Bombyx mori: one gene and its partners. The protein of the gene in region 2 purifies or fractionates together with the protein of the main gene of each other region. This does not show direct contact. Links are inferred from orthologs where the notes say so. Each region holds a gene or a part of one and is shown on either strand. Other genes may lie near its edges.

The links.
Region 1: the proteins of Loqs (region 2) and dcr-2 purify together in Drosophila melanogaster (affinity purification with western blotting; 9 studies listed by BioGRID, with this or other methods). This does not show direct contact. The link is inferred for Bombyx mori from reciprocal best matches to the Drosophila melanogaster genes loqs and Dcr-2.
Region 3: the proteins of Loqs (region 2) and Ago1 purify together in Drosophila melanogaster (affinity purification with western blotting; 4 studies listed by BioGRID, with this or other methods). This does not show direct contact. The link is inferred for Bombyx mori from reciprocal best matches to the Drosophila melanogaster genes loqs and AGO1.

The regions. Positions count from the first base shown.
Region 1 is NC_085129.1:9,461,055-9,465,440, reverse strand, and holds the start of dcr-2 (dicer-2), read right to left. Parts: upstream 2,943-4,386; coding exon 2,834-2,942; intron 2,116-2,833; coding exon 1,988-2,115; intron 1-1,987.
Region 2 is NC_085114.1:6,390,016-6,392,442, forward strand, and holds part of Loqs (loquacious), read right to left. Parts: intron 2,294-2,427; coding exon 2,163-2,293; exon of another isoform or gene 1,848-2,162; intron 1,730-1,847; coding exon 1,560-1,729; intron 603-1,559; coding exon 468-602; intron 381-467; coding exon 132-380; 3' UTR 1-131.
Region 3 is NC_085111.1:12,337,781-12,341,444, forward strand, and holds the end of Ago1 (argonaute 1), read right to left. Parts: intron 2,716-3,664; coding exon 2,567-2,715; intron 2,007-2,566; coding exon 1,829-2,006; intron 1,222-1,828; coding exon 1,030-1,221; intron 688-1,029; coding exon 379-687; downstream 1-378.

The DNA of each region.
Region 1 (4,386 bases), on a different chromosome or scaffold from region 2:
ATCTATTTTAAATCATATTCTTTTATACATTAATCAGCCTTAATAAAGGAGTGTAAAGTTCATAGTTCAATAAATTTCATTCGATTCGTCTTCTTTTTTTTTAACTAGTAGGTGAGCTCACAGGGCTCAAACCTGACGACGTTTCTAACACGAACCCTAACAAGAGCCGTACTTTGCAGAATCTACCACCGGATCGGAAACGCGACCCACTGAAAGATCCAGCGAGAAACTCAGTGGGCTGTGTCTGTGGGTTAATTTACTCGTCGAGCCCTTCGTTGCAAGCGACGGGTTCGACAAGAACGATGACTGGATTCCTGGAACCAGTACACTTCAGTGTTTAAATTGTAGTTTGACATATTCAAGTACACGGTGTGAAAATTATGCATTATACTGTAAAAAAATAAAAAAAAACATTCGGTCGGTTTTTAATTTAAGAATGGGCCGATAAGTTTATCCCCAAAAAAGTTTGCGTGAAATCGTTTACGAGCTTCTAGATTCCTCAGTCGTCGCCATCGTACTGTGCAAGAACAACCGGGTCGGCGGTGTATCGCGTTCCGACCCGGCAGGCTGGTTCGGACCTATATAGTCTAGTCTCTAGTGAGCTATCCCGAACACCAGCGGCGATAGTAAACGATCGCCTTGACGACCCGTCGGCGTCCTGGGGTAGGCGCTGCGAGTATGTCTGTAGTAGTAGCTCAGCTATTACGGACACGCCTTCTAATTACACAACTACAACAATATAAAGAGCTAGCTCACGCCAAATGAACGATTTGACTACAACGACTACTAGGGTTGAAAATGAAGATTCTTATCAATACGCACTATTCTACACGTCCAGATTCGTTGTATGGACACGATTTTACATATTTCCTATAATCCTTCTTTACGAACATGGTCTCAGAGAACAGCTCCAAGCCAAGAAAAAAAAACTTGTAAAAACCTTTTACGTGACAAGCTACGATTGATCAGCGACCAACAACGGAAAGTAATTGGCAATTTGGATTATCATGCTGTAGCGACACTCGTACATACAAATGGTCGCGCGGACTCCGTCTAGAGCAGAGGCTTGTAACGAAAGGGTTAATTTTAAACTAAAAGAAAATTTGGGAAAATAAAATAGCTTATATGCCTGCTCTCTATACTTTATATGGTACTAGCGACCCGCCCTCGCTTCGCTTTGGAAACATGAAATTTAATTTTTGATTATTTACGATATCACATTAAGAACCTCAAAAAGAACAGTATTTCTCCACTATTTAATGGATGTTATTATACATATAAACCTTCCTCTTCAATCACTCTAATAATACATTATGTATCTAATAAATCATTATGTCCGTGAATACATTGAGTCATGTTCACGACATGCTTTGAAATGGTTAATTAAATGAATTATTTTAAACGCTACAAACATTTACCGGTTGGCATGAAACCTGACTTATCCGTAGCGAAAAACTGCTGAATGCGAATATACAAACCTCTTTAACTTAGGTTAAAATATGTCAGTTAAAATACACAACTTTTCAACCCTGAATTACGTATAAGTTGTTATTTCAAACTCAGTTAGTTGGTAATGTAGTTTAATAGTGAATAAATCACAACCTTCTCAATGATAATTTCAATTTTGAATTTAAGATAGTTTTTATCTTTATCTATACATACTTGAGGTTGGTCAATTTACAGATAACTAGTGCTCATTGCTCAGACCTCACCAAATGAAGAATGAAGGTTCCTTTTAAGGACCTTTTTAATGAAGGTTCTAATCAGCTTTATGAAGAATCTGTAAAGTTAGGGCTATACCCCTAGCATTGAGGATATCTATGAGTGACAGCAACAACAAACAATCGGTTGGTCAGTAAACTTTATCTGCCTTGTATGACACTAAATTTTTTCTATCAACGTGGTTGAATGGTGACTCTGATAACAGATGAACAGGTTTACTGACTTCTTATACTAATTTTTATAACATAAAAAAATGTGTAGGCACCTGTTGATTTACTAACGGAACTGTGTTTACAAGAAAGAAACTGCGTTTCCCACCTTCTCCCCAAGGCTTTTTTAATTGGTTACGGAACTTTTTTATAAGCCTCTGAGCAATAAAAGTTTTTCCAGAACCTGAAAATAGCATTATCAAAATTTTATACAAAATTTTAGCTTTTAAATTTTTTCTGAGAAATGTGTATTTAGAAGCTTCTGTTATGCACCATTATGAGTTTTGTATGCATTTCCAGTTATATTATTATTATAGTAAATATTACTGCCAGCTTTATGTTACTTAGCAGGTCATCATCACAAATTGTTGTGTTTTGTAATAGAATCAATCTTTAATCTATTTAATAAAAGAGACAACTAGCAATTTGGAAAATGAAAAGTGGAATCTTTTGTTGGTTACTCTTTGGGCTGAGAAATACCATGTCTAGTGATATGACACATAATGATAAACAATATTGAAACACTGTTAAATGATGATGCAATATTTTTTATTTAAAACTAAAATAAATTTTCTGGGATAGTATAATAAAACCTGAGATGAAGTTTCACCCACATTATATGTAGAATTTATGAATTCTATATTAATCTCTCAGGGGAAGAATTTTAGATGTTAATTATGTATGGTACCCAGAGTTGCATACCCAAGCTATTAAATCCAAAAGGCATGCCTGGTGTTTTATTCTTGTTAAGAAAATGTGTATTCTGTAAAAATGTTTGTTCATTGTTTGTCAATATTGTTGTACCTTTTGTCATAAAAATCTATTTGTGTGTATTAACCTTATTGCACAACAGTCTGTTTAAGGGTAACTATCAGTACTATATCACAGTTCACAGTACTTACCAGTAGGCAAATGAATTATTGTATTTTTTGAACTTGCTATTTCTTCCAGTATTGCTTGATAGGGGCGAGCTTTCTGTTCGTGATACTGTATTCCTTCTGTTGTAGTCATTTTACTTGTGCATGCAGAATTTGGAAGTTCTAAATTATATTATATATTTATAAATCAGTTTACTAATGAAAATATCATATTTTAGAATGTTTGCGTTTGTTGTTATTTGAACAGAATGTATTATATATAAATTAGGTAAATAATTATGAAATAAAACTCATATTGTCGACATACCTATTGTTATTTATACGACATTTTTTATTTTGTTATTTTCCGAACCAGTTTTGTTTGAAAAAAATATAATAAATCAAAAAAGACAACAAATAAAATTAAGGGATGAATTTTAAATACTAAAATGTATGTTTATTTGGATATAGTAGATAGGTATGTACCTAGTAATATACTCTTGATAAATGCAAGAAAAATAAACTTACCGGTTACATACCAGCACTGTCATAAAGTATGTTTAATAGTAAGCATTTAATTTTAATCTTAGCCGGTACGACTACGAAACCTTTCTAAGCTTAAAAAAATAAAATATAAACTTCAAGAGATTTCTTAGGTCACGTTCCTCTTTGAATGTCTATGACTACAACTTTACTACGTACACCAAGCCTCAAAAAGTAAAGTAGGGGAAGTACCTTATAGAGATAACACAATAATTTGACAGTGGCAGCATTAAATGCTAAATATAATAAAAAAATAAATTAAATGCTAAACGCAAATGTACCGTTTGATGTTCATTTTTTTTTTAAAGTGTAAAAGTGTCCGTTGAGTACAACATAAGTTAGAAGTGAAAATATTTTAAAAATAGCGCCATAAACTACCACACTTCACTTCAACCCAACACACTTCATTCTTTTTAAAACTGCTGTATAACATAATCACATTAGTGCTATTTCGGTAAGTCGGTATTTCGTTAAGTAAGTAATTTCTAAATAACTATTGTTTTCGGTTTAAGTATGTAAAGTTAGTAGGTACACACATTACCTCCTTTCTCTTTCGAGAACAATTCATATAGTCCCTGAAAAAATATTAGTGATAGGCTATTTTTTGTATTCTAGATTTTCAGCATTTATAACAAAAATAATTGAGATGTCTCGAGTCCAGAATACCATGCAATATTCGAATGCAGCGTCAGTACTGGAGTAGTTTACTGGATTCTTTTACGTTTCGTTTACGTTACGTATTTCGTTTACGACTTTAAACCGTTATTTCAAACTAAAGATAAAGCAAGTTAAAAATTGTTAAGAAACATTTCGACGTTTAGGTGCGTATTGTTGTTACTCGAATCAGTTCTCAACTACTCTGTCTTTAAATAGTCTATTAAATGAAGAATAATTGAGTACTTAAGTGAGTATTCGAGCAGGTATCAGGTAGTTTTCCAATGAGGAAGTTTCCAATCACATAAAAATAATAATATAAATATTTTATATTATATATATTATATTATATTTTAATAATAATAATAAAAAAATTATATAAATTTAAAGACAATACAAAA
Region 2 (2,427 bases):
TAACGACATCAATACAAAACACATAGTGATATGGCCTGCATTAAAATTAAATCTCATAACGTTAGAGCCCATAGATCAAATGCATAGGTCGTCGCACTGGTCTTTGCTGATGTCGTAAGATGTTGAAAATTTCACTTTTTGGTCATAATCTTGAGATACTCCAAGGCGTTCTGAGCAGCAGATGACTGGGCATCCTTGCTGGTGAGGCCGGCTCCGTGGCATACAGCTACTGGCAATGTGGAAAGCTGGACAAGACACTGACATAGACCAGTCATAGACTTTTCTTCTATGTCGACATAGGTCACCTCAAAAGATTGCTCTGATGCTATTTCTTGCAAGAACTGAACGAAGTTAAAATCCTTATTGTTTAGTGGTGTCACCTGTTTTATAATTAAATAAATTAATATTTCAAATGACAACATTCATGCCAAAAATTGATACTTTCATGCAAAACAACTGTTTCATACCTGCAACTTGGCCAGGTTGGGGCCAACAGACTGTTTGAGATGTTTGTGGAACTGCGACACTTTATGGCTATGGCTCGTGGTCAATGTGGAGATTTTACTATCTTTCAAATCGGCATAACGGGCCGCAACACCGCCCTATAACATAAAAAAAAAACTTTTATTGTCAACCGACTCTTCTGTTGTTTCAGGCCTGTAACCTAATCGAAAGATAGTAAAATACCTGGCCAAGTGCGAACAACAATAACAATTTTAGGGGAATGTTCCAAAAATCAATTGATGGATATTGACAACTATTACATGAAGTTAATTATTTATAATAATTGAAATAAACTGTTGATGGTAAGTACATTCAAACAACACCAAGACAACTTATCAAATAATTGTAATTAATTTTCAGGTAATTATTCTGTTGATACACAAGGCATTATATTACACTCTGGCTTCACAATTTTTTTTAACTGACTATAAATTATTCCTCTTTTTTCATACATACAAATACCAATTTTACTAGTAAAAAAACAAACTGCTATTGCCAGTCTGGCTCATATACTTTTATTATTAATAAAACTTATCTAGCCTCAATATGGTTGAATCAGACAGAGAACATGAAATATGAACTTTAACATATGCATTCGGAGTTACAAGTCTAACAGGCAAATCACCTAGTACTCTGAAGTTACTTTTAAAGTTCCTGAGTAATATTAGACCTTGAGTCCGCGCGGGTTTGTACCACTACCCTGCTTATTTCTGCCGTGAAGCAGTAATGCGTTTCGGTTTGAAGGGCGGGGCAACCGTTGTAACTATACCTGAGACCTTAGAACTTATGTTTCAAGGTGGGTGGCGCATTCACGTTGTAGATGTCTATGGGCTCCAGTAATCACTTAACACCAGGTGGGCTGTGAGCTCGTCCACTCATAGAAGCAATAAAAAAAAAAAAAAAACTTTTTAGTTTTAGTTGTGTTATCAATGTCATCAAATTGTGAATACAAGCCCTTAATCAAGCAGTTCCATTTCAGCATCGGAAACAGCTCCCTTATATCCTATATTGAAGTGAGTTTATGCGATATAGTAGTAAAATTAATATTACTTTACCTCATCATCATTCTGGAAGGATTCTGGTGGGTTGTCCTGTAAGGCCTGCCACATCTTGTAGGCAGCTTGCCGTTTAGCTAATTTCTTTGACTTGCCTGTACCAACTTCACGGCGCTTGAGCAATGTGCAAATGATCGTAAATTGACGTTCATGGGGCAAACCTGAAACTGCTACAATTTTTGTAGTATTGTAGACCCACATTCTTATGTTTCACATAAATTTTACTATCAATTATCAATGATTTATTAATATGTAAAATTATATTAATGTAAAAAATATATTTCTTTTCTATTTATTTAGATCTAAATATACTTAAGTATACAGTGTTAGTTGTTATCAAATATTACAAATAAAGTAATAGAAATGTACAACTTCTATTATATTATATCATTTTATAGTTTCCTTAAATAATATACAACATAACATAATAATATAATGGACAACCAAATGACTACAAGAAGACTCAGAAGAATAGTGCATATAATTTATTTTTTTCTCAAAATTATGGTTGAATGTCTAACTTTAAAAAAAAGTCACTTAAGCTAATAAATAAAAAGCCCTTGCTAAAGTAAGTACCTAAGTAAAATTAGTACGAAAACTTACGTCTATTAACATTGTCATCGTTTTCAGCATGGTAAGATGGTGGTGGCCAGAATCGTGACATACACAACTCCTGAAGCCATCCAACAGGATTACCCATTAGTTTATCTTCAAATGTAGGTACTACAGCACCACTAAAATTGTTTTTTTTTTTATATTAATTGCATTGCAAATAATAATAAAAATATTGTGAACAAAATGTTTCAATAAATTTGGATATGTTGATGTCTCCAATGAACTTCAAATTCCTAGGTTTACAGGAGGAGCG
Region 3 (3,664 bases), on a different chromosome or scaffold from region 2:
GAACTTTACAGTAGACTAATTTAAAGTTGAAATACCTGAAAAAAAAATTATTATTACTACTATTATACTATTTTAACGAATCTAGCTGTGGGATTGATATGATTTTAATAGACCTAGAAATATTTTTTTTTTTTGCGCATCGATAGCGGTTATTGCCTATCGTTTATGTACAAAGCAGTTATTGTCGCTTAGTCACGTTTGCCTGTCAAGCGTCGAATTATGTTTGAGTTGGCGGGGCGCGCGCGGACCCGTCGGCTTTAGGCGAAGTACATGACCTTCTTGACGTTCGAGAACTGTTTCTCCGCGATACAATCGACGGCGGAACGTTGGGAGTGAACGTTTGTGTTTCGTTAGATATGTCTCTATGAGTCGTCTGCGTTAGGCGAAGTACATGACCTTCTTGGTGACGGCGTGCACGGTGATGGCGCGCGCCATGGCGCCGGGCGTGCGGTCCTCGCTGCAGGCGGACTGGTGGCTGCCCTCGCCCGAGTCGTGCTCCTTCTCGACGAGGTGGTAGCGCGCGCGGAAGGCGACCAGGTGCGCGTAGTAGGCCGGCGCCGGGATGGACACGGAGCGCGTGCAGCGCACGTACGTGTGGCACAGCTGGTACGTGAGGCACTGCAGCTCGTCCGAACCGAAGTGGTTGTCGTCCCACAGCACGTGGTAGTGCGACGGCCGCGACGTACCCTGTCGGCGACACAACAACATCACTATGCCATCTAGTTACTTAGTATCAGTCAATTCAATACGCGCGCATTGCTGTTTAATCCTCAAACACAGCCCACCGAGTTTCTCGCCGGATCTTCTCAGTGGGTCGCGTTTCCAATCCGTTGGTAGATTCTGCGAAGCGCGGCTCTTACAACTATAAGTATAGTTACAACGGCTGTCCCAACCTTCAAACCGAAACGTATTACTGCTTCACGGTAGAAATAGGCAGGGTGGTGATACCCACCCGCGCGGACTCAGAAGAGGTCCTAGCATCAGTATACCAGATTAGAGAACGGCCGATTGAATCGTATTGGCACGTACCTGGATGCCCTGGTGACTGCACAGGTAGAAATCGAATTCGGTGGGATGCGTGATGCCGAGGTCGACCGTGGTCCCGGCCGGGATGTTCCCGGACTTGCCGGACTGCTCCTTCTTGTCGGCGCAGAACAGCCGCGTGTGATGTCGCTTCTGTACCACGATGAAAGTGATGCCCGGCTTGTACTCCGCTTCCAGCTGTAACCAATATGATATTATACGTGACTACTATTGAAACTATTCAGTAGCATAAAGTACGTTGTTACATTCTTTTGTACAGGTTACAATTATCCCGAATGTTATTATTTAGGTCATTGACCTTAATTAGCCACAGAGTCACGAGATCCGACTTCGATTGAATTGGTCGTATCTTATATGGTTTCCCGCGTGTATGACAATAATAACAAGATAAAACTCTTAGCTTTATCCTAATCTGGAAGATATAATTATAGGCGATTACTTTAAATAAACGATTCATAATAAAGAAACATCTTTATAGTTAAGCAATAATTAAAATTTGTCTCAAACACCAGGTACAAAAGTAACTTAGGCACTATCCAGATGACTATTACGAACAGAGTATTACGTATGAAATTATATTTACTAAACGGTTTGTTTTATGTAACCTCTGCATTAAAGTACATCAATTAATGTCTTGTTCTGAGGTAGCACCCAGCCTTCAAAACTTGTTTGGTAATACTGCACTTTTCACGACATAAATAAAATAACATATAAGTGATAATGATTGGGTTAAAATAATGAATAAACGTAAAGTCAATAAAATGATTAATAAAATAATAATGACCTTGATACAAGCCTCCCTCACAGCAGTCAGCTCATGCTGTAAGACGTGCAGGAACTGGCCTTCGGAGATGCCGTCGCGATACATGATGATCCGGTGGGGTTTGAATCCGCCGGTGCTCTTGTAAAACATGATGAGCAGCTCCTGGACCATGCTGCTCATTTCGTGAACTATCTCTTGCCTGTAAAAGGATTTTATTGAATATAATTTTTCGCGTAGATGGTCAAAGACCTCACGTATGACCTCACAGCTCGCTTTGTTCGTAAGCGATTCCCAGGGCTCAATTTAAAAACCTTCATTTAGGTTTTATTGCAGTGTGAAACTAGTAATGAAGAAAATCTGTATGGCTTGTTTTGCACCAATATAATTGGTAGGACGGTGGTACCTCCCGATTCGAACTGGAAAACACGCTCCACTAATCTACTTCTAAAGTACTAAATTTATTTTACGTTTTATAAATTTCTGAATAGACCTTATATGATGTATCTTTAAGGAAACTTGCTCTTGCGAATTAAGCAAAAAATTACTAATTAAACTATTTAACATTCTTAAACACTAAGTAAACGTTTTTTTCAGTTCAACAAATTCAAATCTAACAACAACAAAAGTGACATCCCAGATTTGTCCCTATTCTAACTCTAGTCTCTATTCCCGCCAATCTACTGTAGTTGGAACAACTCTACCGGCGAATAGGTAGGGAAATAATAATATACGACTACGTAATATGGAAGGGCTGGTTACCGGTGCTGCTGTACCCTGACGGTGGCGGCGTACCGCGACGGATGCGCGTCCATGGAGCCGACGACGGCCGCGATGGAAGGCTTCTTGTTGTCACCGGCGGGCGGGTGCGTCACGTCCACGCCCAGGAAGATCACGGGCTCGTTGAACACCTGCGCGACACAAACGACAGAATTAGACTGTTAAAAAGAACTAGTCCCCCCCCCCCCAATAGTCGAAATTCGACTATAATTAATAGAAATTATAAGTTTGAACATTATTAAGATTCTATTGTCAAGGACTATTAAAATTCTATAGTCACCGATTTCGCTAAGACTACACTTTATTTAGACAAATCTTAATAATGACAAACAATATTTATTCTATACTCAATTTGGCCACATACTATAAGCAATAAGAAAAGTTTGACAAAAAACAAAGAGTATGCATGCGTGTGCGTGTCAAATACACGGTAGTGCGCATAATGTTTTTTTATCGATTTAATAAATAAAAATGCATAATTAACAAAAATATTAACATTCTACACTCCTTCTCTATATTCTCTATAGGTGTGGGAAATTTCATACTCTTCCGTCTGCGCAATTTTCGTAAAGAGGGGTACAAAGTTTTTGCTTCACGTATTAATATATAGATAAACTATTACGGACCACTTCTATCTATCTCGCTCTAATAATGTTCTTCATGACGCATGTGATGAATGACATTATGACATATCCTTCAAACGATTTAAGAGGTAGCGTTAGGTTGCTGTCGATGCTGATGTCCATGAGCGACGGCTGCCGTACATCAGGGTAACAACATACACTAATTTGTTGGTTGCAACCGAACGCCACTAGATGTCGTTCTACACTTCCACATGCGTTCTAATAACAACTGTAGAAAAGTTTCACGGGTTGAACGAAGATCATAAGCCTTAGAAGTTGGATCGATGTAAATTAAAAATTGATCAACAATAATTGCCCTGATGTGTGTGTGAATGAATAAAAAATTTGGAATTGAAAATTTCAGCAATAGGTCAACAGCCTAATCGGCACGATCAATGTTGCATTCGATCAGCATAGAGGGTCGGCTGTTACACCAACGTATATTTTTATCGACTGT